Elephas maximus indicus: one gene and its partners. The protein of the gene in region 2 binds, or shares a complex with, the protein of the main gene of each other region. Links are inferred from orthologs where the notes say so. Each region holds a gene or a part of one and is shown on either strand. Other genes may lie near its edges. The genes, in order: SLC7A9, SLC3A1 and SLC7A13.

The links.
Region 1: the proteins of SLC3A1 (region 2) and SLC7A9 are in contact, whole or in part, in a cryo-EM structure (PDB 6LID), measured with the Homo sapiens proteins. The link is inferred for Elephas maximus indicus from reciprocal best matches to the Homo sapiens genes SLC3A1 and SLC7A9. Residues at the interface, in NP_000332.2 of Homo sapiens: Pro64, Tyr65, Ala66, Gly67, Met68, Pro69, Lys70, Leu73, Phe74, Phe76, Ser77, Tyr82, Pro85, Arg86, Phe90, Thr93, Val97, Leu100, Ile101, Ala103, Thr104, Ile107, Ile108, Ser111, Cys114, His201, Asp202, Thr373, Glu374, Pro375; in NP_001119807.1 of Homo sapiens: Cys137, Phe140, Tyr141, Val142, Gly143, Cys144, Pro147, Ile149, Val150, Cys153, Leu154, Ala156, Ala157, Leu160, Phe161, Thr164, Leu168, Thr279, Thr281, Asp295, Arg296, Tyr299, Tyr343, Val346, Arg347, Lys467, Thr470, Met471, His472, Gln474.
Region 3: the proteins of SLC3A1 (region 2) and SLC7A13 are in contact, whole or in part, in a cryo-EM structure (PDB 8WK6), measured with the Homo sapiens proteins. The link is inferred for Elephas maximus indicus from reciprocal best matches to the Homo sapiens genes SLC3A1 and SLC7A13. Residues at the interface, in NP_000332.2 of Homo sapiens: Pro64, Tyr65, Ala66, Gly67, Met68, Pro69, Lys70, Leu73, Phe76, Ser77, Arg81, Tyr82, Pro85, Arg86, Leu89, Phe90, Thr93, Ser96, Val97, Leu100, Ile101, Thr104, Ile107, Ile108, Ser111, Cys114, Leu115, Glu194, Asn195, Asp202; in NP_620172.2 of Homo sapiens: Ile120, Phe123, Phe124, Pro125, Ser126, Cys127, Leu132, Pro133, Cys136, Leu137, Leu139, Ala140, Met141, Trp143, Ile147, Arg151, Lys187, Thr265, Arg267, Asp281, Arg282, Glu450, Cys454, Tyr455, Gln457, Leu458, Leu459, Phe460, Asn461, Ile462.

What each region holds. Positions count from the first base shown.
Region 1 is NC_064839.1:14,861,602-14,869,122, reverse strand, and holds the start of SLC7A9 (B(0,+)-type amino acid transporter 1), read left to right. Parts: upstream 1-4,494; 5' UTR 4,495-4,652; coding exon 4,653-4,739; intron 4,740-7,521. UniProt on the Homo sapiens protein: Associates with SLC3A1 to form a functional transporter complex that mediates the electrogenic exchange between cationic amino acids and neutral amino acids, with a stoichiometry of 1:1.
Region 2 is NC_064844.1:18,312,634-18,319,840, forward strand, and holds the start of SLC3A1 (neutral and basic amino acid transport protein rBAT), read right to left. Parts: upstream 3,028-7,207; 5' UTR 2,839-3,027; intron 1-2,838. UniProt on the Homo sapiens protein: Acts as a chaperone that facilitates biogenesis and trafficking of functional transporter heteromers to the plasma membrane.
Region 3 is NC_064833.1:55,505,402-55,513,347, forward strand, and holds the start of SLC7A13 (solute carrier family 7 member 13), read left to right. Parts: upstream 1-4,898; coding exon 4,899-5,583; intron 5,584-7,946. UniProt on the Homo sapiens protein: Associates with SLC3A1/rBAT to form a functional heterodimeric complex that transports anionic and neutral amino acids across the apical plasma membrane of renal epithelium.

The DNA of each region.
Region 1 (7,521 bases), on a different chromosome or scaffold from region 2:
TTTGAAGCAAAGCCCTGCCATTCTCTAGATAACGACTTTCCTTTTGAGGAACAGTTTTTGGCTTGTTACTGGGCCTTAAAAAAAAAAAAAAAGGGCCTTAGCAGAGACCAAAAGCCTAACCATGGGCCACCAAGTCACCATGCAGCCTGAGCAGCCCATCATGAACGGAATGTTGTCTGATCCAGAGAGTCATAAAGTTGGACAAACACAGCAACACTCCATCATTAACTGGAAGTGGTATCTACGAGAACGGGCTTGGGCAGGACCTGAAGGCACAATTAATTTGCATGAGAAAGTGGCCCAAATGCCCATGGTATCCATTCCTGTCACATTACCTTCCCTCTCCCAAGCTGTACCTATGACCTCATGGGGAGTTCCTTATGATCAGTTGACTGAGGAAGAGAAAACTCGTGCCTAGTTTACAGATGGCTCTGTACAATATGCAGGTACCACCAAAAGTGGATAGTGGCAGCACTGCAGCCCCTTTCTGGGACCTCCCTGAAGGACAGTGGTGAAGGGAAATCCTCCCAATGGACAGATCTTTGAGCAGTGTACCTGGTTGTTCACTTTGCCTGGAAGGAGAAATGGCCAGATGTTTGACTATATACTGATACATGGGCTGTAGCCAATGATTTGGCTGGATGGTCAGGGACTTAGAAAGAACATGATTGGAAAATTGGTGACAAGGAGGTATGGGGAAGAGGTATGTGGATAGACCTCTCTGAATGGGCCAAAAAAGTGAAGACATTTTTGTCAAACTAAACCTGGCTACCACCACCGGCTGCTCAGACAAGGATCACAATAGAGGGTCCCAGACAGAGCTGGAGAAAAATGTTGAACAAAATTCTAACTCACACACACACAAAAAAAACCAGACTTACTGGTCTGACAGAGACTGGTGAAACCCCAAGAGTGTGGCTCTCAGACATTCTCTTAACTCAGTACTGAAGTCACTCCTGAGGTTTACCCTTCAGCCAAAGACAGGCCTATAAAACAAAATGACACTAAAGGGGCACACTAGCCCAGGGGCAAGGACAAGAAGGCAGGAGGGGACAGTAAAGCTGGTAATCTGGAACACAAGGTCGTGAACGGGAGAGTGTTGACATGTCATGGGGTTGGCAACAAATATCACAAAATAATATGTGTATTAATTGTTTAATGAGAACTTAATTTGCTCTGTAAACCTTCATCTAAAGCACACACACAAAAAAGAATGCTATCTGGTCACTTGGGGCTCCTCATGCCTCTGGATCAACAGGCCAAGAAAGGAGTTACCATATTGGCTGGTGTAACTGACCCTGATTACCAAGGGGAAATCAAATTGATATTACATAACATAGGTAAAGAGTATGGCTAGAATACAAGAGAGTCCTTAGGGCATCTTTTAGCACTAAAGTCAATGGAAAACTTTGTTGTTGTTAGGTGCTGTTTAGTCCCATCTGACTCACAGCGACCCCATGTACAACAGAAGAAAACAATGCTTCATTGGTTTTGCTTCCATAGAGAACCCAGTCTAAGACAGCAGAGTTTGAAAGGGAAGGTCAAGAGCGTTAGAAGACACCTAAGAAATACTGGAGTTGTATAAAAAAAATAACATGAAACTTCCTTGGAAAGTAACTGTAGAGGGAATTGACTGCAAAGAGGTAAAGCTTCAGCTGTATGGTGAAAAGCTGGATATATAATGAACAAAAAGTCTTGAAGAAGAATCAGGAAAAAAAATGGTTTTTATCAAATTATTTTCCACTAGGAAAAACTTATAATTGGTTGAACATCACTTTGCTGAATAAACAAGCAAAAAACCCAAACCTTAAGAAATGCTCACCACAGACCGCAAATTAACTCAAGTGTTGATTTCTGACTCTGAAAGGATCCTCATGCCCAGATGCTCCAAGCTCAGCACTTGGCAGAGGCCCAGAAGGCCCAGGGGGTCCTCTACATCAACGGAAGGAGGAGATTTAACACACGACCTGTGGAAATCCTCACAATTCCAGGAGAGGGACCGTTACCCTCCCCATTTTAAGATTTGGATCTTGAGGCTTAGAGGTGGTGGCCTGGTCCCAGGCCTACCCTCTTCATGTGGTTTCTGTCAGAATATCAGCCTGAAACCCTAGTGGCTAGTGGTTAAGTACTACAGCTGCAAACCAAAAGGTCGGTAGTTTGGATCCACCAGGCGCTTCTCGAAAACTCTGGGGCAGTTCTATTCTGTCCTCTCGGGTTGCTATGAGTTGGAACCTACTCAATAGCAATGGGTTTGGTTTTTGGTTGGTTTGGTGGCAACTTTGACCCAGGGAGTGCCCTGTGGTGTTTTGAGAATATGGGTGGGCCAGACACTAGGGTTCCAGCACTGCAGGTTCTGTCGGAGCAGGCCGATGAGCGCCCTGCCTGGCTCAGGGAGGCAGGTGTCCTGCTGCGCAGGCTCAGCCTTCCCAGGACTGGGAAGCAAGGGTCCACTTGTCTCCTGATGGTTGTAGGAAGCAACCCTGAGAAATCTGCCCTCCTTCTCTCAGGTCGGCCTGCCCCAAAAGGCTCCCAAAGTGACCCCCATTGGCTCACCCACCTCTGTCCCACAGCCTTTGGTCCATCTGGATTTGTAGGGTGCTGCTACATTTACCCCAATGTAAAACCGCTGGTGAGAGTGTGGCAAAATGTGAGGGCTGTAATTAGTGTCGCTGAATCCTGCATGCAGAAATGGTTCAATTTGTGTATTTTTGGCTGTGTATAATTTTATCAAAAAAAAAAAAAAAACTGCAGCAGTGGTGATACCAACAACAATGCTTCAGGCTTACTGTCCCCCCCCCCACACTCCCCCCCACCCCACCCCCCGCTGCTGTCCTCTCACCTGTCTGATAAGGAGCCTCCCACAGGCAGACCTTACCTGAGATAAGGGTTTGGAGCAGCTGAGTCTCTGCCCCGCAACCAGAGGGGAAGGCAGCCAGATGCACCAGCCCTGGGTGGGGGTCAGAGCTTCTTGCCCTCGCTGGGCCTCAGTTTGTCTGTCAGGCAAATGCAAAGGCGGACTTGATGGTGTTCGGTGTCCCTGTTCTGCTCGACAGTCCTGGATCTGGGCTACTTTAACAGCACAACGACAACTCTTTGGGGCTTGGCGGGAGCAGCAAGGGAGGCCGGAGCTAGGACCTGTCAGGAAGCCTCTCTGCAGCGTCCACCTTTTGCCAGGCTCCCTGGTGGTTCCAGGTGGATCCAGCCACTGGCAAATGTGAGTAGAAAGGCCTCCCTCCTCATCCCACAGGAATGCAGACCAAGGACTCTGAGAGGAATTTACCCCGTGGGAAGGAAAACAATTTGTGAGTCCCATGTAGCGTAGCAGCTACCACTCGCGCTATCTCAGTGGTAAATAGAGCCCATTAAGGTAATGAAAGAGTTGGTTCCAAAGCTTACTTCCCTCGCTTCCAAAAGATATAAAAAAGCATTATTTCCACTCTTCGGTAGTGGATTTGGGGAAATCTGGGGGAAAAAATTGATTTAGACATAACTGAACAAAACAAAACATTTTAGGAGAAAAGTAGCTTGCCTCACCCTCCCCTTTTTGTGTGGTGTATCCAAGCTTTATTGCTCACAACAAAAGGTGTTTAATAATTACCTTTGCTGACCTCTGTACTTTCTGGCTTCCTCCACTCCTGGACACAAGACATGGCCATTCCTAGGGTGTGACAGCGCAGAGGCAGGTGGTCGGCCAGGCCAGCAGCGTCTCCTCTGGATCAGCAAGGTCAAGGCAGAAGGTAAGCCTGGCTAAGGGAAGCCTGTCCCTTCTCTGGCCAGCCCAGGGGGATTTATTTGGAGAAAGGGCACAGTAGACCACGGTCTCTTGCTGTAGCCTTAAGCCAATTTTCCTCAGCAATTTTTTTCATTCCTTACATCACTCAGTCCAAAAATACTCATCCTACAGGTCCATCAGAGCCCTGGTGGCGTGGTGGTTAAAGCATTTGGCTGCTACTTGACAGGTCAGCAGTTCGAACCTCCCACTAGGCGCTCCTCGGGAGAAAGATGTGGCAGTCTGCTTCCGTCAAGACTTGCAGCCTTGGAAACCCTATGGGGCAGTTCTACTCTGTCTTATAGGGTCGCTATGAGTTGGGAATCAGCTCAATGGCAGTGGGTTTGGTTTTGGTTTTGGAATGGGCCTATCATGCTTGAGGTAAGAAAAAGATTTCTTCCCCAGGCTTGATTCTGCTAAGCATATTCTGGTATAATTCATCTTTTTTTTTTTTTTTAACTTAAAAAAAAATCAAGTTGGACCATGGAGGTAAAATGACTTTTCAAGTATGTCACTGTTGAGGATGATGAGGAGTGACAGGCCTGGGAGCCTGGGGGCTGGAGGCTGCTGGGAGAGAGGCAAACACTCAGCTGGGTTGGAAAAGAACACAGGAAGCTCCATTTCCTGTGGCCTGAACTAAATTAAGATTAAGGACTAATATTTACTCCTGGGACTGAGCAAGTTACTACTAAGGATTAACAACTGTACTTGCCTAAAGCCTGAGCTAACAATCTGCTGTTGGAGGCCCTTCCCAAATCCCAGAGGCCCTAGCTGAGAAGAGCCTGGGCAAGCCCCAATTTGCATCTTGCCAGCAGGGTGTTTGCTGAATGGAGACCCGGCCCATGCCCTTCTTGCAGCTTCCCAGAACTGGCAGGACGGGGAGATGGGGGAGACACGCCTGAGGAAAAGGAGAGAGGACGAGAAGTCGATCCAGAGTAATGAACACAAGACCACAATTCTCCAGAAAGAGGTAAAGTGGTCTTCTTTTGGGGGCCCCTTCAAGGGCTGAGTAGGGGAGTTTTCAAGAGCAGTCCCAGACAGAATGAAGTCCCCACTAATCCCTAATAAATAAATCCCTAGTGACTAACAAAAGGAAGTGATCTTTGATTCTTAAGGTACATCTTGGAAGGACAATTCTTTGGATTTATCTCTTTCTCTTCCTCCTGTGAACTCAGCATATTCTTTTGAAGTTAACACATACGTGCTTTCCTGCCCTGGGTAAACGTCTGCAGGGGCCAGTATTTGCTCAGATCAGGGGACTCTTAGGGGCAGTGTGAAAGGACCCTCTATGTCTGAGTCCCAAGTATCTGTCCCTCCTGTTTGAATACCTCTGGTGATGGGAAAAGGGTCCCTGGTGGTACAATGGTTAAACAGCTCAGCTATTACTTGAACCCACCACCGACTCTGTGGAAGAAAGGTATGGCAGCCTTGGAAACCCTTTGGGGCAGTTCTACTCTGTCCTGTAAGGTAGCTATGAGTTGGAATTGACTCAATGGCAATGGGTTTGGTTTAGTGATGGGAAGGAGTCCCTGGGTGGTGCAACTGAAAAGGTGGAAGATCAAATCCACCCAGAGGCACATTGGAAGAAAGGCCTGGTGACCTAGTTCTGAAAAATCAGCCATTAAAAACCCTATGCAACATAGTTCTACCCTGGCATACACGGGGCCACCTCGAGTCGGAATCGACTCCATAGCCACTGGCTACTGGTAGTGAGAGGAGACTTGCTCCCTCCAGAAGCAGCCCACTCCATCTTAGAGGGGTCTAGCTGGATGATGAGTTTAACAAGGGGGAGACCTGGATGAACGCTCAGAGTTGGGAAGTAATGAGGTACCTGCTGACTAGAGGGGGCCAGGAGGGCTGACAAGGAGACGGGCAACAGCACCCTCCCTCTCTGTCAGTCTCTGTGCCTGGGACCAGAGGGGGTGGAAGACGATGACACGGAAGCCCCGGAAGATGAGAGGGCGGGTGGCATGGCCTAACCGTTGGCTGGCCTGGGATCTCAGATCCCCAGGAGTCAATGACAACAGCACCCTCCAACTCTGTCAGTCTCAGGCCTGCAGGGCCAGGCTTGACTGAGTCCAGTGATGGTTTCTCAAAGCCAAGGTGGCCCTTGAGCCACACAAAGAGCACAGGTGAGCAAAGCCCAAGTGTGTCCTAGACTTACCTAGGCACCTTCAGGGTGAATGTAGACCTCACCCAGATTAGAATCCAGGCAGTTGCTCAGCAGAGGAAGGATTCTGGGGGCATGTTGGTGAGCTAAGCTGTCTGCCCTGAGGAGGGAGGTGTGGAAGCTGGAGCGATTAAGACAGCAGAGCTAAGGTCCCTGCGTGGGGCAAGTGGCTGGTAACCAAAAGGTTGACAGTTCAAACTCACTCAGTGGCACCACGGAACAAACAAGCCTGGTGATCAGCTTCCGCCAAGTTTACAGACAAGAAAACCCTGTGGGCAATTCTACTCTGTAACACGTGGGGTCTCTTAAGTCACCAATGAACAACAAAAACAAAATCAACCAGAAAGGAGCAGAGCTGAGACGGCCCTCAGCTCACCCTTGAGGCCCAGAGCGGAGCTGGCACTGCTTCCCAGGGACCCCTGCTGTGTGTCACATCCCATGGGTGGCAAACTCACTGCTGGGATTGCCCTGGTTCTCCAGGATCTCCCCCTGAACTCAGCCTCTGCCCTCCCAGGCAAGCACACACACCCTGACCTCAGCTTCCCAATCAGGCCTCGGCAGCTTCCCAATCAGGCCTCGGCAGCTTCCAAGGCCTGGCGTTCTAAGTAGGGGCCTGAGTGAGACATACTCTCCTTAAAAATATATATATATTTTTTGATTGCTGTATAGTTTATATAGGTCCCTGGGTGGTATAGGTGGTTTGCAATTGGCTGCTAACCTAAGGGCTACCTACCAATGCTAAACTAATTGTTGCCAACAATGGGTCACAGACCTGCTCTCTACCCAGCAGCTCCCCTGAAGAAAGGCCTGGTGATCTGCTTCCAAAAAGACTGCAGCCAAGAAAACCCTGTGGAGCAGTTCCACCCTGTAACACATGGGGTCACCATGAGTCACAACTGACTTGATGGCAATGGGTTTGGTTTTTGGTATGGTTTGTATACAGTGAAACACACAGATCTTTGGTGTTCAGTTTCTGTTTTTTTTTTTTTTTAATTGTGCTTTAGGTCAAAGTTTACAGAGCAAATTAGTTTTTCATTGAACAGTTAATACACATGTTGTTCTGTGACATGGTCTGCCAATGCTGCGACGTATCCACACCCTCCCCTTCTCCACCCTAGTTCCCTGTTTGTATTCATCCAGTTCTCCTGCCCTTCCAGCCGTCTCATCTTTGCTTTTGGGTTGGTGTGCCTGTTCAGTCTTGTGTACATGATTGAACTACGAAGCACGTTCCTCACGTGTTATTCTTGGCCCTATAGACCTGTTTAATCTTTGGCTGAAGAGTGAACCTTAGGAGTGACTTCAGTCCTCAGTTAAAAGGGTCTCCAGGGGCCATGATCTTGGGGTTTCTCCAGTCCTGTCAGACCAGCAAGTCTGGTCTTTTTATGAAATTTGTATTTTGTTCTACATTTATCTCCTGCTCTGTCCAGGACCCTCCATTGCGATCCCTGTCAGCGCAATCGGCGGTGGTCACCGGGTTCATTTCGAGTTTCGACATACACATCACCCAGAAAGTTCCCTCCAGCCCCTCAGGCAGTCCTCCACCCCTGATTTCTATCACCATAGGTTCCTTTTGCCTGTTCTT
Region 2 (7,207 bases):
AAAAATATATTGTTAGACACATATATATCATTTCTTAATATCAATTAAAAACATAAATATCTGTAGAAAACTTGGAAAAAATAAGCAGATAATTCACACAAATAAACGCACAAATATCAGGCAAATAAACAAGCATTTTCAATCACATTTGTAAAGAATTTTTAGAAGATAATAGTGCTGGCAAGGATCCAGTACAAATTGACGTAATCATTCTAGAAAGCAATTTGGCAATGTGTATGATAAGCTTTAACATTTTTCAAGGTAATAAAATGGGGCTAGCCTTACCAGATTTTAAAACAAAAAAAGGAATTGATAGTAAAGAAGAGATAGGCCACAAGATCAATGGAATAGATTGGAGTCACCAAAAATGGACCCCTATACATAAGGCGGAAACCTCGGTGGCATAGTGGTTAAGGGCTACGGCTGCTAACCAAAAGGTTGGCAGTTCATATCCACCAGGCGCTCCTTGGAAACCCTATGGGACAGTTCTACTCTGTCCTATAGGGTCGCTATGAGTTGGAATCAACTCAATGGCAATGAGTTTGCTTTTTTTTTTTCTTTTGTATACATAAGGAAATTTTAGAATGTGAAAAGGCAACATTTTGAATCAGGGAGAAAATGATTATTGAAAAAGTGCTGGACAGCTGGCTAGCTATTGGGAAAAAATAATAAAGCTATACAGCCTACCTTATTCCTTATACCAAAATAAGTTCTATGCAGATCAGATATAAAAGTAAAATATAAAACCTGTAAAATGCTAGACAGAAATGTATCTACTTAAAAAAAATAATCTTAGAGTTGGGAAGCCTTTCCAATAAAATACAAAATCTACATCCCAGGAAAGAAAAGATCAAAAAATTCGATTCCACAAATTAAAAACAAACAGAACAATCCACAAAGCTAGAAGACAACAAATGACAAACTAGAAAAAAATATTTTAAGACATACGGCAAGTTATTTTTCATAATATAGAAATTGATTTATAAATTAATACAAAAATAATCAGAAATACAAGTGGTTAAAAACACAAAATTCAAATTTCACTCAAAAGTAAACAGAAACCAAAATAAGAGGGATATAACATTTTTAGGCTTTTTTTGGCAAAAATGAGCAAGTTTGATAATACTCAGTGTCAAAAAATATACAGGTAATCAGCACTCTCATAAACTCATGATAGGACTGTAAACTAGTACAACCTTTGTGTGGGAGAATTTGGGAGTATATGTCAAAATGGTAAATCTCATAACCTTTGACCTAGAAGTTTCACTGCTAAAAATTTATCTTGCTGGTGTAAGGATATTCACTGCAACAAAACTGGAAACAACCTAACTATCCATCAATGGGGGAATCATTTAAATAAATTATGTCAAATCCACACAGTAGAATACCACCTGTATACTACAGAATGCGTTGGTCTAGGCTGATTTAAAAAATGTCCAAAATATAGTGTGAAGTGGGAAAAAATTTAGAACGGTATGTATAATCATAATTGTGCAGAAAAAATGACACACACAGTCATACATGCAGATTAAATTTTCAACTAGTGGTTGACCGGAGACTAAGAATAACTGGATAAAGATGAGGGTCACTGGACTTTTACATTTCACTTTTACCCTGACTAAATTTTTTGTCCTCAGCATATGTGACTTTTGTAATAAATAAAGGTTATATCTTTTAATTCAATAATCCACTTCCAAAAATCTATCTCAATGAGATGGAGCCAAAAATTTATGTATAAAATGTTTTATTAATTATAGTGGTATTTATAATAGCAAACATTGAAAACAACCTAAGAGCTTAATGATAAGAGACTAGCTTAATAAATTATTGTACATTCTTGTGATAGTTATTGAACATATTCTCAAAGACTTTTTAGTGACATGGAAAACATTTCACAACGTGTTGAGAGGAAAAACAGCTCTTAAAAGTCTCCTGTTGAATGGAAGAAAGTATCCCAATTATGTGGGAAAAAAACAAACAAACTCATGTATATATATAAAGCCTGACTAAAAAATATGTTTAGAGTGTTTATTTCCGGACTGTAAAATTATGGATGATACTTTGTTCTTTAAATTTTCTGGGTTTTCTGATTTTTCTATAATAAATGTGCATTGCTCTTGAAATTGGAAAAAAAAAAACTAAGCTAGGGTATCCTGATTTGGGAGTCTACCTAGAACTTCCAGGTAGGTGATAAAGAGTTCAGTATAAGGTGATTCCTCCTGACAACTGCCACCTAAAATTCACAAACACCCCTTACTAATACCTAAACGAAAGATATAAAAGCAAATTTAAAAAGCAGAAGGAAAACACAAGATCCAATTAACAAGTTTTGAAGCGCTTGGAAAGGAAGAGAAAGTTGGCAGTAAGCCCGAGAAGATATCTACAAAGCTAAGAATTCCAAGCAAGTACAAACTACTATTTACTTTAAACAGGATTAAAAAGGAAATAATAATTGTGGAAACCAACGACAGTCTGTAAAAATGAGTAAGGAACAAAAACACAAAGGAAGCTTTAACAGCTTACTCAGATGATCAGAATAAGGAATCCGAGATAACAAACATAAATTACCTCAGCGAATTCAAATCTCAGGAGAGTTACTCAAAACCGATAATAAAGCACAGATGAAATACCTACGAAACAGGTGACAGAACAATGGAGGAGCCAGAAAACTCACTGAAATGTAAATAAAGAAACAGAGAATAAAAGTAATCAAGGGGGAAAAAAGACGAATTTCAAGGCCATCACATCGTAAAGAGTCCCATTCAACAGCAAACCCGAGGCATATAATCTGTCAGATTGGTAAAGATTCCAAACCGAAGGGTTTTCCATATTTTTTACCTGTTCACCAGACTGATTCACGGACACTGTGAGCTGTGGGTAGGATCCATAACAGTCATCTTCAAGTTCCCGGCATCTAGTGCAGCGCCTGATATATTATTAAAAATAAAAATATTTACATAAAGATGGATGAACCTAATGCTAACCTTTGTGGGGGAGGGAATGGGTGTAGAGAGAGGGGAAATAGAAAGTACATTCTGCACAAAAATGTAGATTTTTATCATTTCTCTTAGCCATGTGTTCTTGTCATGGTACTGTGTACTGAGTAGAATTTTAAGTTCAAAGACCTCAGCGAGAATCAAGTCCTGCCTCCACCATTTGCTCACGGCATGATCTTAAACAAACTTGCCAGCTTCTCTAAGGTGCTGTTACCTCAGCTGTAAAACGTAATTTGGCTACAGAGTTAACATTATAAATATAGACCACAGTAAGGTGTTTTTTAAAACCATTCTAACGAGAAAGAAAGGGGAAGGATAGATTTATCCCAGCTAGAGAGGAAAGTTAAATTCATACAACAACTGAAAAAAATAGAGGCTATTTTTAAAACTTTTTATAGCCAAATGAAACAAAACAAATAGCAAAAGAAGAAACGTACCAGAACATGAAAATGTGACAAATGTCACCACAAAATCTTACTATTCTGCACATATAAAGAATTCATGCAAATATACAAAATCAATAGCCAAATCACATTCAATAAGAGATGAAAAGATATGTTAAGTTATATGTAAGAATGTAACACGTGATAAGTCATCACATAAAAGCACCTTCTTGATGGAATAAAAAACTTGATAAGGTGCACTATAGATTAATTGCACTAATAACCCAGTTAATGGTCTTCCTGTATCCATGCCGTTTCCCCTCATAACTTCTTAACCCCTTGGCAGACTGAATCTGGGCTTGGCCATGTCACCCGCTTTGGCCAATGGGACAATAATAAATGTGACACCAACAAAGGCTTAAACAAAAGTACTTGTGCATTTCTCTTCTCTTTTGAACCTCCCCCGTCGTCATCATACCAGCATGCCCAGGTTAACCTGCCGGAGGGATGTGGGAGACATGTGAAGGAGTGCTGAGTCTCCCCAGCCAGGGTCTTTCTAGACTAGCCAGCCCTCCAGCTGACGACAGATGCAGGAGCAAGCCCTGCTGAGATCAACTGAGCCTAGCCCAGATCCACAGAACCAGCCAATCAACAACTACCATACCATGAAAAATAATAAATGGTTGGGTTTCTTTTGCTTTTGGCTTTTTAAAAATAGTATTAAAAGTACATTTCAAGTATGCAATTTAATAAGTTATAGATCCATGAAACCATCATCACAACTAAAATAATGAACATGCCCATCACCCTCAAAAGTTTCCTCTTGCCCCTTTGAAATCTCTCTCTCCTATTCTCCTTCCCAGCACCACCAAAACCGCCTTCCATTCCTAGGCAACCCCAGGATAATTACTATAGATTAGTTTGCATTTTCTAGAATTTCATATAAATGGAATCATAACAGAGTATGTACTGTTTTTTTTTTTTTTGGTCTAGTTTCTTTTATGAAACATAATTATTATTTTGAGATTTATCCACGTTGTGCATATCAATAGTTCATTATTTTTTATTGCTGAGTAGTATTCCAATACAAAGATATACCAAAGTTTTTAAGCAGGCATTTGTTTCTGTTTTCTTTTTCAGTTATTGGCTATTACAAATAAAACCGCTGTGAACATTCACATTCAAGTCTTTGTAAGGACATAGCTTTCTCTTCTCTTGGCTGAATGCCTAGGAGTAGAATGGCTGGAACATACGGTTGTTGTTGTTCGCTGCCATCAAGTCAGCTCTGACTCACGGTGACCTTATGTGTAACAGAATAAAAGGTTGCCCAGCCCTGTGCCATCAGGTCCTGTACCATCTTAACGATCACTGGTATGTCTGAGCCCATGGTTGTAGTTATTGTGTTAATCAGCCTCATTGAGGGCTTCTGTCATTTTCGTTGGTCCCCTGCTTTACCAATCATAATGTGCTTTTCTAGTGACTGGTCTTTCCTGATGAAGTGCCCAAGGTAAATGGACTGAAATCTCTCCATTCTAAGGAGTATTCTGGTTGTATTTCTTTTAAGGCTGACTTGTTTATTCTTCTGGCAGTCTACAGTATATTCTTCACCAATGCCACAATTCAAATGCATCAATTCTTCTTCTGTTTTCCTTTTTCATTGTCCAGCTTTTGCATGCATATGAGGCGATTGAAAAGATCATGGCTTGGGTCAGGCACACCTTAGTCATCAAAGTGACATCTTATATGGTAGGTGTATGTTTAACATTTTGAGAAACTGCCAAAATTATATTAGGAAGTGAAATAGGAACCATTTTATATTACCATCAGCAGTGTACGAGAGTTCCAGTTCCTCCACACCCTTGCCAGCATTTGCTACGTTCAGTCTGTTTAATTTTAGCCATTCTAATAGATGAGTGTCGTTGTTGTTAGTTGTCATCGAGTCACTTTCAACTCATGGCAATCTTACGTATAACTAAACAAAACATTGCCTGGTCCTGTGCCATCTTCATGATTGATATGTTTGAGTCCATTGTTGTGGCTCTTGTGTCAATTCATCTCATTGAGGGTTCCCCTCATTTTTGCTGATCCTCTGCTTTACCAACCATGATGTCCTTTTCTAGAAACTGGTCTTTTGAGGCTGCTTAGAAGTCTCAATATATACATTAAATATATATATATATATATATATATTTTTTTTTTTTAGACAGAATCTGTGAGGCATGCATGTCGTTAATATCCTTAGAGGGGCCTTTGTCTGCATACCTGAATTTGGGAATCATGAAGAAGCTAGGAATGAGAGTTTTATATTCAAATCAGAAATTCCTGGATCCAGACAGTCCCTCTAACACTTGGTCTAAAGTTTTTCTTAGTTAGATCAACCAAAACAAAATGACATTTTTTAAAGGAAAACAACCAATCCAACACTCAACACTTAACATCACAATGCCTGGCATCCAATAAAAAATTACTAGACATGCAAAGAAGCTTCAAAAGGTAATCCAAATTCAGGAAAGAAATCCATACATAAAAACAAACCCAGAAATGATATAAATGATGGAATTCACAAACACAAATTTAAAAACAGCTAAAAAAAAAAAAAATTTTTTTTATTATAAACATGCTCAAAGATTTAAAGAAAAACAGGAACACCATGAGTGGTATAATGGAAGATATAAAAAAGAATCAAATGGAACTTCTGGATATGGAAAATAAAATACAATACAAAAAAAATCTCTAGGTGGGCTCAACAACAAATTAATCACTTCAAAGTAAATGATCAATGGATTTGATGACTAGCAGTGGAAACTATCTTAACTGAAGCATAGAGAGAAAAAGGGCTGGAATTAAAAGGTAACTGAAAGGTCAGCAGTTCAAGCCCACCAGCTGCTTCAAAGGCAAAAGATGTGGCAGTCTGCTTTCATAAAAATTACAGCCTTGCAAACCCTATGGGACAGTTCTGCTCTGTCTTATAGGGTAGCTACAAGTCAAGGTTGACTAGATGACAGACAACAACAATAGGAGTCTAAGTTATAATCTAGGCCTAAACACCATTTCTAATCGAATGTTTCTTTTAATATCTCTGTCTTAGGCTGGGTTCTCCAGAGAAGCAAAACCAGTAATGCATATAAATATACATATAGAGATTTATATTAAGGAAACAGCTCATGCAATTGAAGGGGTTGAAACATCCCAAGTCCTTGGATCTGCATAGAGTACTTTCCCAATTCGCAGAGCCGCAGAAGCTGTTGAACCCAAGATGTGCAGGTGGAAAAGCAGGGATCCCGCTCACAGGTTGTGATGGTCAAGGAATCCCCAAGGTCGTCAGGCAAGACCACCATGTTTCTCCTGAAACTGCAGGGGCTGGTGAACCCAAGACAGGCAGATCAGCGAGCGGGACTCTTGTTCGCAGGCCAGGAAGATCGGCGAATCCCAAGATGGACAGGTAAGCTGCTAGCTCAAGTCCCAAGAACCAGAAGTCAGACAAGAGACAGCTGCTGGATCCGGAACAAGCCAACAACTTTTGCAAGGCGAGCAGGAAGGAAGTAGGGGCAGAAGGCAGAGAGATGAAGGCTGAGGGAGCCGTGAGCCATCACAGGCCCCACCCCCACTGGTACCACTCAGCAGATTCCATCATGGGGGTGATCACATATCAAATTTCAACAGGAAAGTGATCACAACATTATACAACTGCCAAAATACTAAGAATCACAGCCCAGCCAAGGCGACACACAATCTTAACCATCACCGTCTCCAGATCAGGTCCTCTGCTCCAGTCAGTCAGCCAGTCTTCTCACTGCAGACTATGAATGCCTGGTCTGGATACTTGTT
Region 3 (7,946 bases), on a different chromosome or scaffold from region 2:
AAAATCTGAACAGACCCATAACAAGAGAAGAGACTGAAGAAGTAATAAAACAAAACTCTCCCCCACCCCCCCAAAAAAAGCCCTGACCCTGACGGCTTTACTGGAGAATTGTACCAAACATTCAGAGAAGAGCTCACACCAATACCACTCAAACTATTCAGAGCATAGAAAAGGAAGGAATACTCCTGAATTCATTCTATGAAGCCAACATAAATCTGATACCAAAGCCAGGCAAACACCATGGAAAAAGAAAATTGCACCCAATATCTCTCATGAATATAGACACAAAAAGTCTCAACAAAATTCTAGCCAATAGAATTCAGTATCATATCAAAAAAATAATACACCACAGACCAAGTGGGATTCATACAAAATATGCAAGGATGGTTCAGTGTTAGAAAATCAATGAATGTAATCCATGACTGAAATAGAAAAAAAGAAAACAAGCACATGATCATTTCAATAGATGCAGAAAAGGCATTTGATAAAGTCTAACACCCATTCTTGATAAAAACTCTCAATAAAATAGGAATAGAAGAGAAATACCTCAACATAATAAAGGGCATGTATACAAAACCAACAGCCAACATCATTCTCAATGGAGAGAGGCTAAAAACATTCCCCCTGAGAACAGGAACAAGACGAGGACGCCCTTTTTCACCACTCCTATTTAAGATTATGCTGGAAGTCCTGGCTAGAGCAATAAGGCAAGAAAAAGAAACAAAAGGCATCCATATTGGAAAGGAAGAAGTAAAACTATCTGTATTCACAGATGATTTGATCTTATACATAGAGAACCCCAAAAATTCCAAAGGAAAACTACTGAAACTAATAGAAGGATTCAGCAGGGTTGCAGGATACAAGTCAACATACAAAAATTGGTTGGATTCTTATACATCAACAAAGAGAATTTCAAAACAGAAAGCAGATAAACAATACCATTTATAAAATAAAACAAACCTATTGCCATCGATTCAAGTCATAGTGACCCTGTAGGACAGAGTAGAACTGCCCCATAGGATTTCCAAGGAAGCTGGATTTGAACTACCAACCTTTTGTTTTGCAGCCCAGCTTTTAACCACTGTGCCACCAGGGCTCCATACCATTTATATGGAAAAGAAAGAGGCCTTGGATAAGCAAAGCAGCATTGAAGATAAAGAACAAAGTAGGAGGCCTCATACTCTCTGATCTCAGAATCTACTATACAGCCCCGGTAGTCAAAACAGCCTTGTATTGGTTCAACAACAGACACATAGACCAGTGGAGCAGAATCGAGAACCTAGATGTAAATCCATCTACCTGTGGTCAGCTTATCTTTGACAAGGAAACAAAGTTCATTAAATGGGGAAAAGACAGTCTTTTTAACAAATGGTGCTGGGAAAACTGGATGTGCATCTGTAAAGAAATGAAACAGGACCCATACCTCATACCATACACAAAAACTAACTAAAAATGGATTAAAGACCTAAATATAAAACCCAAAACTCTAAAGATCATGGAAGAAAATAAATGAATAGATAAATAAAGACAACGTAGGGGCCCTAAACATGGCATAAATTCAATACAAACCGTAACTAACAATTCACAAACACCAGAAGATAAACTCGATAACTGGCCCAAGCCAAGCCCATTGCCACCAAGTCGATTCTGACTCATAGCAACCCTATGGGACAGAGAGCTGCCCCATAGGGTTTCCAGGGAGCAGTTGGTGGATTCAAACTCCCAACCTTTTGGTCAGCAGCGGAGCTCTTAACCACTGTGCCATAACTGGGAGCTCCTAAAAGTTAAACACTTATTCTCATCAAAAGACCTCACCAAAAGAGTAAAAAGAGAACACACAGACTGGGAAAAATTTTTTGACTATGACATATCCAACAAGGGTCTAATCTCTAAAATCTATAGAATACTGAAACACCTCAATAACAAAAAGACAAATAATCCAATTAAAAAAATGAGCAAAGGATTTGAACAGACACTTCATCAAGAAGACATTGATACAGCTAACAGACACATGAAGAAATGCTCTTGATCGTTAGCCATTAGAGAAATGCAAATCATAACTACAATGAAATACTATCTCGCCCTGACATTACTGGCACACACACAAAAAAAAAAAACCCAGAAAATGAGATATGCTAGAGAAGTTCGGGGAGATTGGAACTCTTAGGAACTGCTGGTGGGAGTGTAAAATGGCATAACCACTACAGAAAATGATATGGTGCCTCCTTAAAAACTAGAAACAGAAATACCATACCATCCAGCAATTCTCCTAGGAATATATCCTAGAGAAATGAGAGCCGTCACACAAATAGGCATATGCATACTCATGTTCTGTGCAGCATTACTCACAATAGCAAAAAGATGAAAACAACCTAAGTGCCCATCAACAGATGAATGGAGGAACAAATTATTTTACATAATGGAATGCTACAAAATGATAAAGAACAATGATGAATCCTCAAAACATCTCACGACATGGATGAATCTGGAGGGCATTATGTTGAGAGAAATAAGTCAATCACAAAAGGACAAATATATGAGAACACTATTATAAAAACTCATGAAAAATTTTACACACAGAAAAAACAATCTTCGTTGGTTACAAGGGAGAGGAGGGATGGGGAAGGGAACTCACTAACTAAGATAGTAGACAAGCGTTAACTTTGGTGAAGGGAAAGACAACACACAATATACGGGAAGTCAGCACAACTGGACCAAGGCAAAACCACAGAAGCTTCCTAGATACATTTAAACACCTCAAGGAACCGAGTTACTGGGGCTGAGGGCTGCGAAACATGATCTCAGGGGACATCTAGGTCAATTGGCATAACAAAGTTCATAAGGAAAATGTTCTACATCCATTTTGGTGAGTAGTTCTCTGGGATCTTAAAAGCTTGCGAGCAACCATCTGAAATACATCCATTGGTTCCATCATGTCCGGGGCAAAGGAGAGTGAAGAAAACGAAAGACAGAGAAAATATCAGTCCAAAGGACTAATGGACCACATGATCCACAGCCTCCACTAACCTGTGCCTAGAACAGATACACGGTGCCTGGCCACCACCACCAACTGCTCTGACAGGGATCACAATAGAGGGTTCTGGACAGAGTGGGAGAAAAATGTAGACCAAAATTCAAATTCGCAAAAAAAAAGACCGGACTTACTGGTCTGACAGAGGCTGTAGGAACCCCTGAGACTATGGCCCTGGACACCCTGCTAACTCACACCTGAAGCCACCCCTGAAATTCAGTTTTCAACCAAAGATCAGAGAGACCTATAAAACAAATAATAACACACATGAGGTAGGTACTTCTTAGTTCAATCAAGTACACTAGACCAAATGGGCAGCACTTGCCCAAAAGCAAAGAGGAGAAGGCAGGGAAGGACAGGAACCTGGATGAATGGATGGGAGGGAACCCACAGGTATAAAGGGAAAGGGAGAGAATGCTGACACATTGTGGGGATTACAACCAATGTCACTTTGTGTATAAATTATAAATTTTGATTGAGGAACTAATTTGTACTGTAAACTTTCACCTAAAACCCAATAGAAAAATTTTACAAATTCCCAATAAAACCTTCCTATCAAAAAAAAAAAAAAAGCCACAGAGATGAACACAGCCATGTTGCACCTGACCTGACCCCATGACACACCTGCTGAGAGAGAGACACCTGCTAACACTTGGTCCAAGTCTTGCCCACCTGGCGGCATAGACATGGACACAGGTAATTCGAGAAGGGAGAGTGAGTTCCCTTTTAGACATAAAAGAGTTCTCTCCTATGATACTAAGTAGGGTACTCCTGGGGGCGGGGAAAGGACCGATTCACATCAAATCTGTTCCTATTGTTTACTGTTTGCTTTCTGTAAGTAATCTCTTCTTGTTTACTGTTAACCTTCTTCAAATAATAACAATGGATTTTAGTTGCCAATATTGTGTGTCTTGTGTGTGTAACCCAATTGGATTGGATCATCTTCATCCTAGCAGTCATATGATCGCTTGGATGCAGTGCATAGCCTGTGTGTATGCACACATGTACATGCATGGGCATGGTTCACTTGCAAAATGAGCCTGTCTCTTGATCAGCCATCACTCTGGTACCCCGGGTCACAGGCACAGAGATGTGAATGGGAAGTACAGGAGAAGACCTGACCCCAAGGACGAGGGGAAGGAGGGTCCTAACCATCTGAACAAGGCCTGGACCTGAGTAGCTCTCACATATGTTGATTTTACAATGAAAAGCATTGTCAAGAGTATTTCCGAAGGCTCCTAAGCCTGGAGCACAGCCCCAGGTTGGAAGTAAAGTATTTCTGAAGTATCCCCTAAGGGTATGTGAAAATTAAATTGTCCATGTTTTTGCTTTGGTTGTGGGAAAAATGGCAGTTTTCTGGAAGATTGCATCCAAAAAATCTACGGTAATACTGTACAGAGCTGAGTAAACATGACCAAGTCCACATCCCAAATGAAACCAGGCCTCCCCTCCAGAAAGACGCAAAGTAGCAGAGTGCAGAACTGTCTGTGGTCCTACCCATTGCTCCCCTCTTACTTATCTACTTTAAGAGGAGACAGGGAGAAAATCAACTACACAGCCGATTTCTGCTTTTCACTGTAATACCCTCTGTCCTATTTGAAATTCCATTTATCCATTTGAATGTATTATTTTGATAATAATTAAAAAAACAAGCAAACTAAACTCTTCTAAGAAATCTCACACTATTTTCTTTAATGTTTCACACGTATTTTGTTAATCATTAAACATGAGCTATGTGTAATAAAGGTGGAATGAAAAGCACTGCCCTGTTCTATTTCAGAGAATCGATGAACATTTTATTTAGCAATATAGTCAGGAAAATTCAAAAATTGTAATATATGTAGAAAATTTAAATTCCTTAAAGAAAATGGATGAAGGGAAGAAGAGACAGCTCCGGAGGGTATTTGGATATTACCAGGGCGTATGTTTTACCATCATTAATATGATTGGTACAGGAATTTTTGTGGCTCCCAAAGGGGTGCTGAAGTACTCTTGCATGAATGTGGGGCTATCCCTGTGTATTTGGGCTGCCTGTGCTTTATTGTCCATGATGAGCTTTCTCTGCTCTGCAGAGATAGGTATAACCTTCCCATGCAGTGGGGTTCAGTACTATTTTCTCAAGAAATGCTTTGGCTCCGTGATCGCTTTCCTAAAACTTTGGACAGGCTTATTTCTGGGGCCGGGGATAGTCGCTAGCCAAACCCTGCTCCTCGCTGAGTATGGCATCCAGCCTTTCTATGGCAGCTGCTCTGCTCCAGAGCTCCCAAAGAAATGTCTGGCACTGGCCATTGTATGGATAGTGGCAATCCTGAATACTCGTGGTGTAAAAGAGATGGTTTGGCTTCAGACAGCCAGCACAATGCTGAAAATGGCCATACTTGGTCTCGTTTCCCTGACTGGAGTGGTGATACTAGTGAGAGGAAGGAAGGAGAATGTAGAGAGGTTTCAGAATACTTTCGATGCTGAGTTTCCAGATGCCTCCCAGATGACAGAAGCCTTCTTCCAAGCATTTTTCGCATATTCTGGCGGAGACAGCTTCATGTTTATAGCAGGTAATTTACAATCCACTGAGAAGCAAATCTCGTAAGCTATTATTTTTGCATGCAATATGAAATGTACATCTTCTGCTGGATTTGGAGTTTTATTTTAAATAAATGATTCAATTTTTTTTTTTTTTTAATTCTTTGTGACTTTCCTAATCAGGTCAGAGTATACCAGCCTTGCCACTTCCTCTTAATTATTTTTCCATCTATTCAAAGTACCTGTTTTATCAACAACTTCTTTCTTTCCTGGAACCAGAGATATCAGACCACCATGTTAATCTTTTTTTTTTCCTGTTAATGTGGGAATGCTGTGGTTGTGGAAATATTCGCTTCGCATGAAACTAATTGAATACAGGCTGTATTTAGGTTGTGGGTACATGTGACACACTTCGGCTCTTAAGTATTTTTAAAGGGAAGAGAATCGTAGATATCCTAAATTGCTCTTAGGCTGGATTTAATAACCTTCCCTATTCGATGCCAGGACAGGAGTTTTTCTCTCTTTTTTTTCAAAGTCAACCTCTTCCCTTAGACTCTGCATCCTTTCCCTCCCACCTCCTTAGGGACCTTTCTTGTGCATTTATTCCATTTTTTGTTTTTCAACTTCTACCTTTCTACCAGTTCTTAGGCTTGAAATTTAAACGTGAACCAGACTCTTCAGTTCTTAAAAAAAATATTTTCCTTAAATCTTAGAATCCTTTCTAGTCACTGATGTGTCAATAATTCACGAAATCATTCTATCAGCAAGCATCTGTTAAAACACCATTTTTAATATTCTGTACTAGTGCTTGAAGATGAATAAGATGTATTCTTTGCACTAAAAAGGCTTACAATCTAGTAGAACAGGCAACATCTGTATTTCAGCCTGACCTCTGACACCAGCTGTGGTAAGTAACTTCCCCTCTCTGGACTTAACTTTTTTTTTTTTTTGCAAAATGGGCATTATGGCTCAAAATCATTATAATTTGGTGCCTTGTAGATAAATATTGGCACGACAGTATCTAATAAGTTGCCGTAAGGGAACAATATAATTGCTTTGGAAATTCAACAGAAGAAAAGGTCACTTTTCACTGTGTCCTCAAGTGGAAATCGTGGCAATCTGAATTGAATCTAACGGTTTAGGCAGTAGGAAAATACGAGTGAAGCTGTGGAGAACAGAGGTGTGTAGGGTACATAAAAGACATGGCAGGTGGTCTTGGGTGACTGCAACATGGTTTCTGTCTGAGAGCCTGATAAGAGATATGGTCAGTAAGAGAAGTATGTACAGAGAGCAATAATATAATGGTATAAGATTGGAGACATACGACTGGAGAATGCCAACTTTTAGGTGGTAAGAGGAGAAAGAAAATGCCTTGGAAAACCCACAGGAGGTTCAGAGAATTGTAAAGGAAAATCACCACATGTTTTATAAAGAGGCGGTAATCAAAATGGTTGAATGCTGCTGAAGTTGAGGAGTGTGAGGACTGATCAAAAAACATTTCACTGACTAAATAAGAAGTCACTGACAGAGAAGGAAGTCAGTTTGCACTGAGCTAAAAAATGAGATATTGATGAGAGTATAAAACTATGAGAGAAGAATTTTTTATGTAGTTTATGATTAAATGGGTGACTGCAATTTGAGAGTTTAGCAGAATGAGCAAAACTCTGTCTCACGTTGTCTCTGTTAAGGATAAAAGAGATCTCTTTGGCTTCTATTTGAGCCAATTTTATCTTGTTCCATTGCCAGAGATGTTTCATTTTAGATAATTATTCTTTTCTGAAAATAGATTGACAAAAACAGCTAGCAGTAAACAAAGGCTGGAGGAATTCCAGTATGTGCCGGGGTTGTTAATTTACTAAATTAATTCTAAGTAATACTCCCACCTGTGAAATGGTGATTTTCAGGCAGCTGACTTTGCCGAGTGTAAGAACATTTATCTTTTAAGTTCAAGACTCAGTGGTATTCACTACCTGTCCAGCTATTATAAGCCTCTGTTATAAATTAAATTCTAATCCCCACTTCTCTCCATACAGTCGGTACATAATAAGAAAGAGTATAAGGCCCAGAGAAAAGTGTAGTTAATCTAAAAACTTGCCCTTTATCTTGTTCCAGATTTTTGACTAATAACCATAGTTATTAATTAACAACCACTTCTTAAGCACTTATTAAGTGCTGTACAACGTGATTGAAGTTTTATTGTTTCTGTATTTTCCATTTCCCCCAATTGTCCAGAAGCCTTCAACTAGTAAATCATTCAGGCAGGGCTTAAATTAGAGCTTTGTAATTATTTACATTTTAAGTGCTTAATCAGCTCACGTGTCCCTCATGGACATTGGATTCAACCCCTGAGCAAATGAAGATGGAAGAATTTTGACATATGTCAAAGGAGAGACAT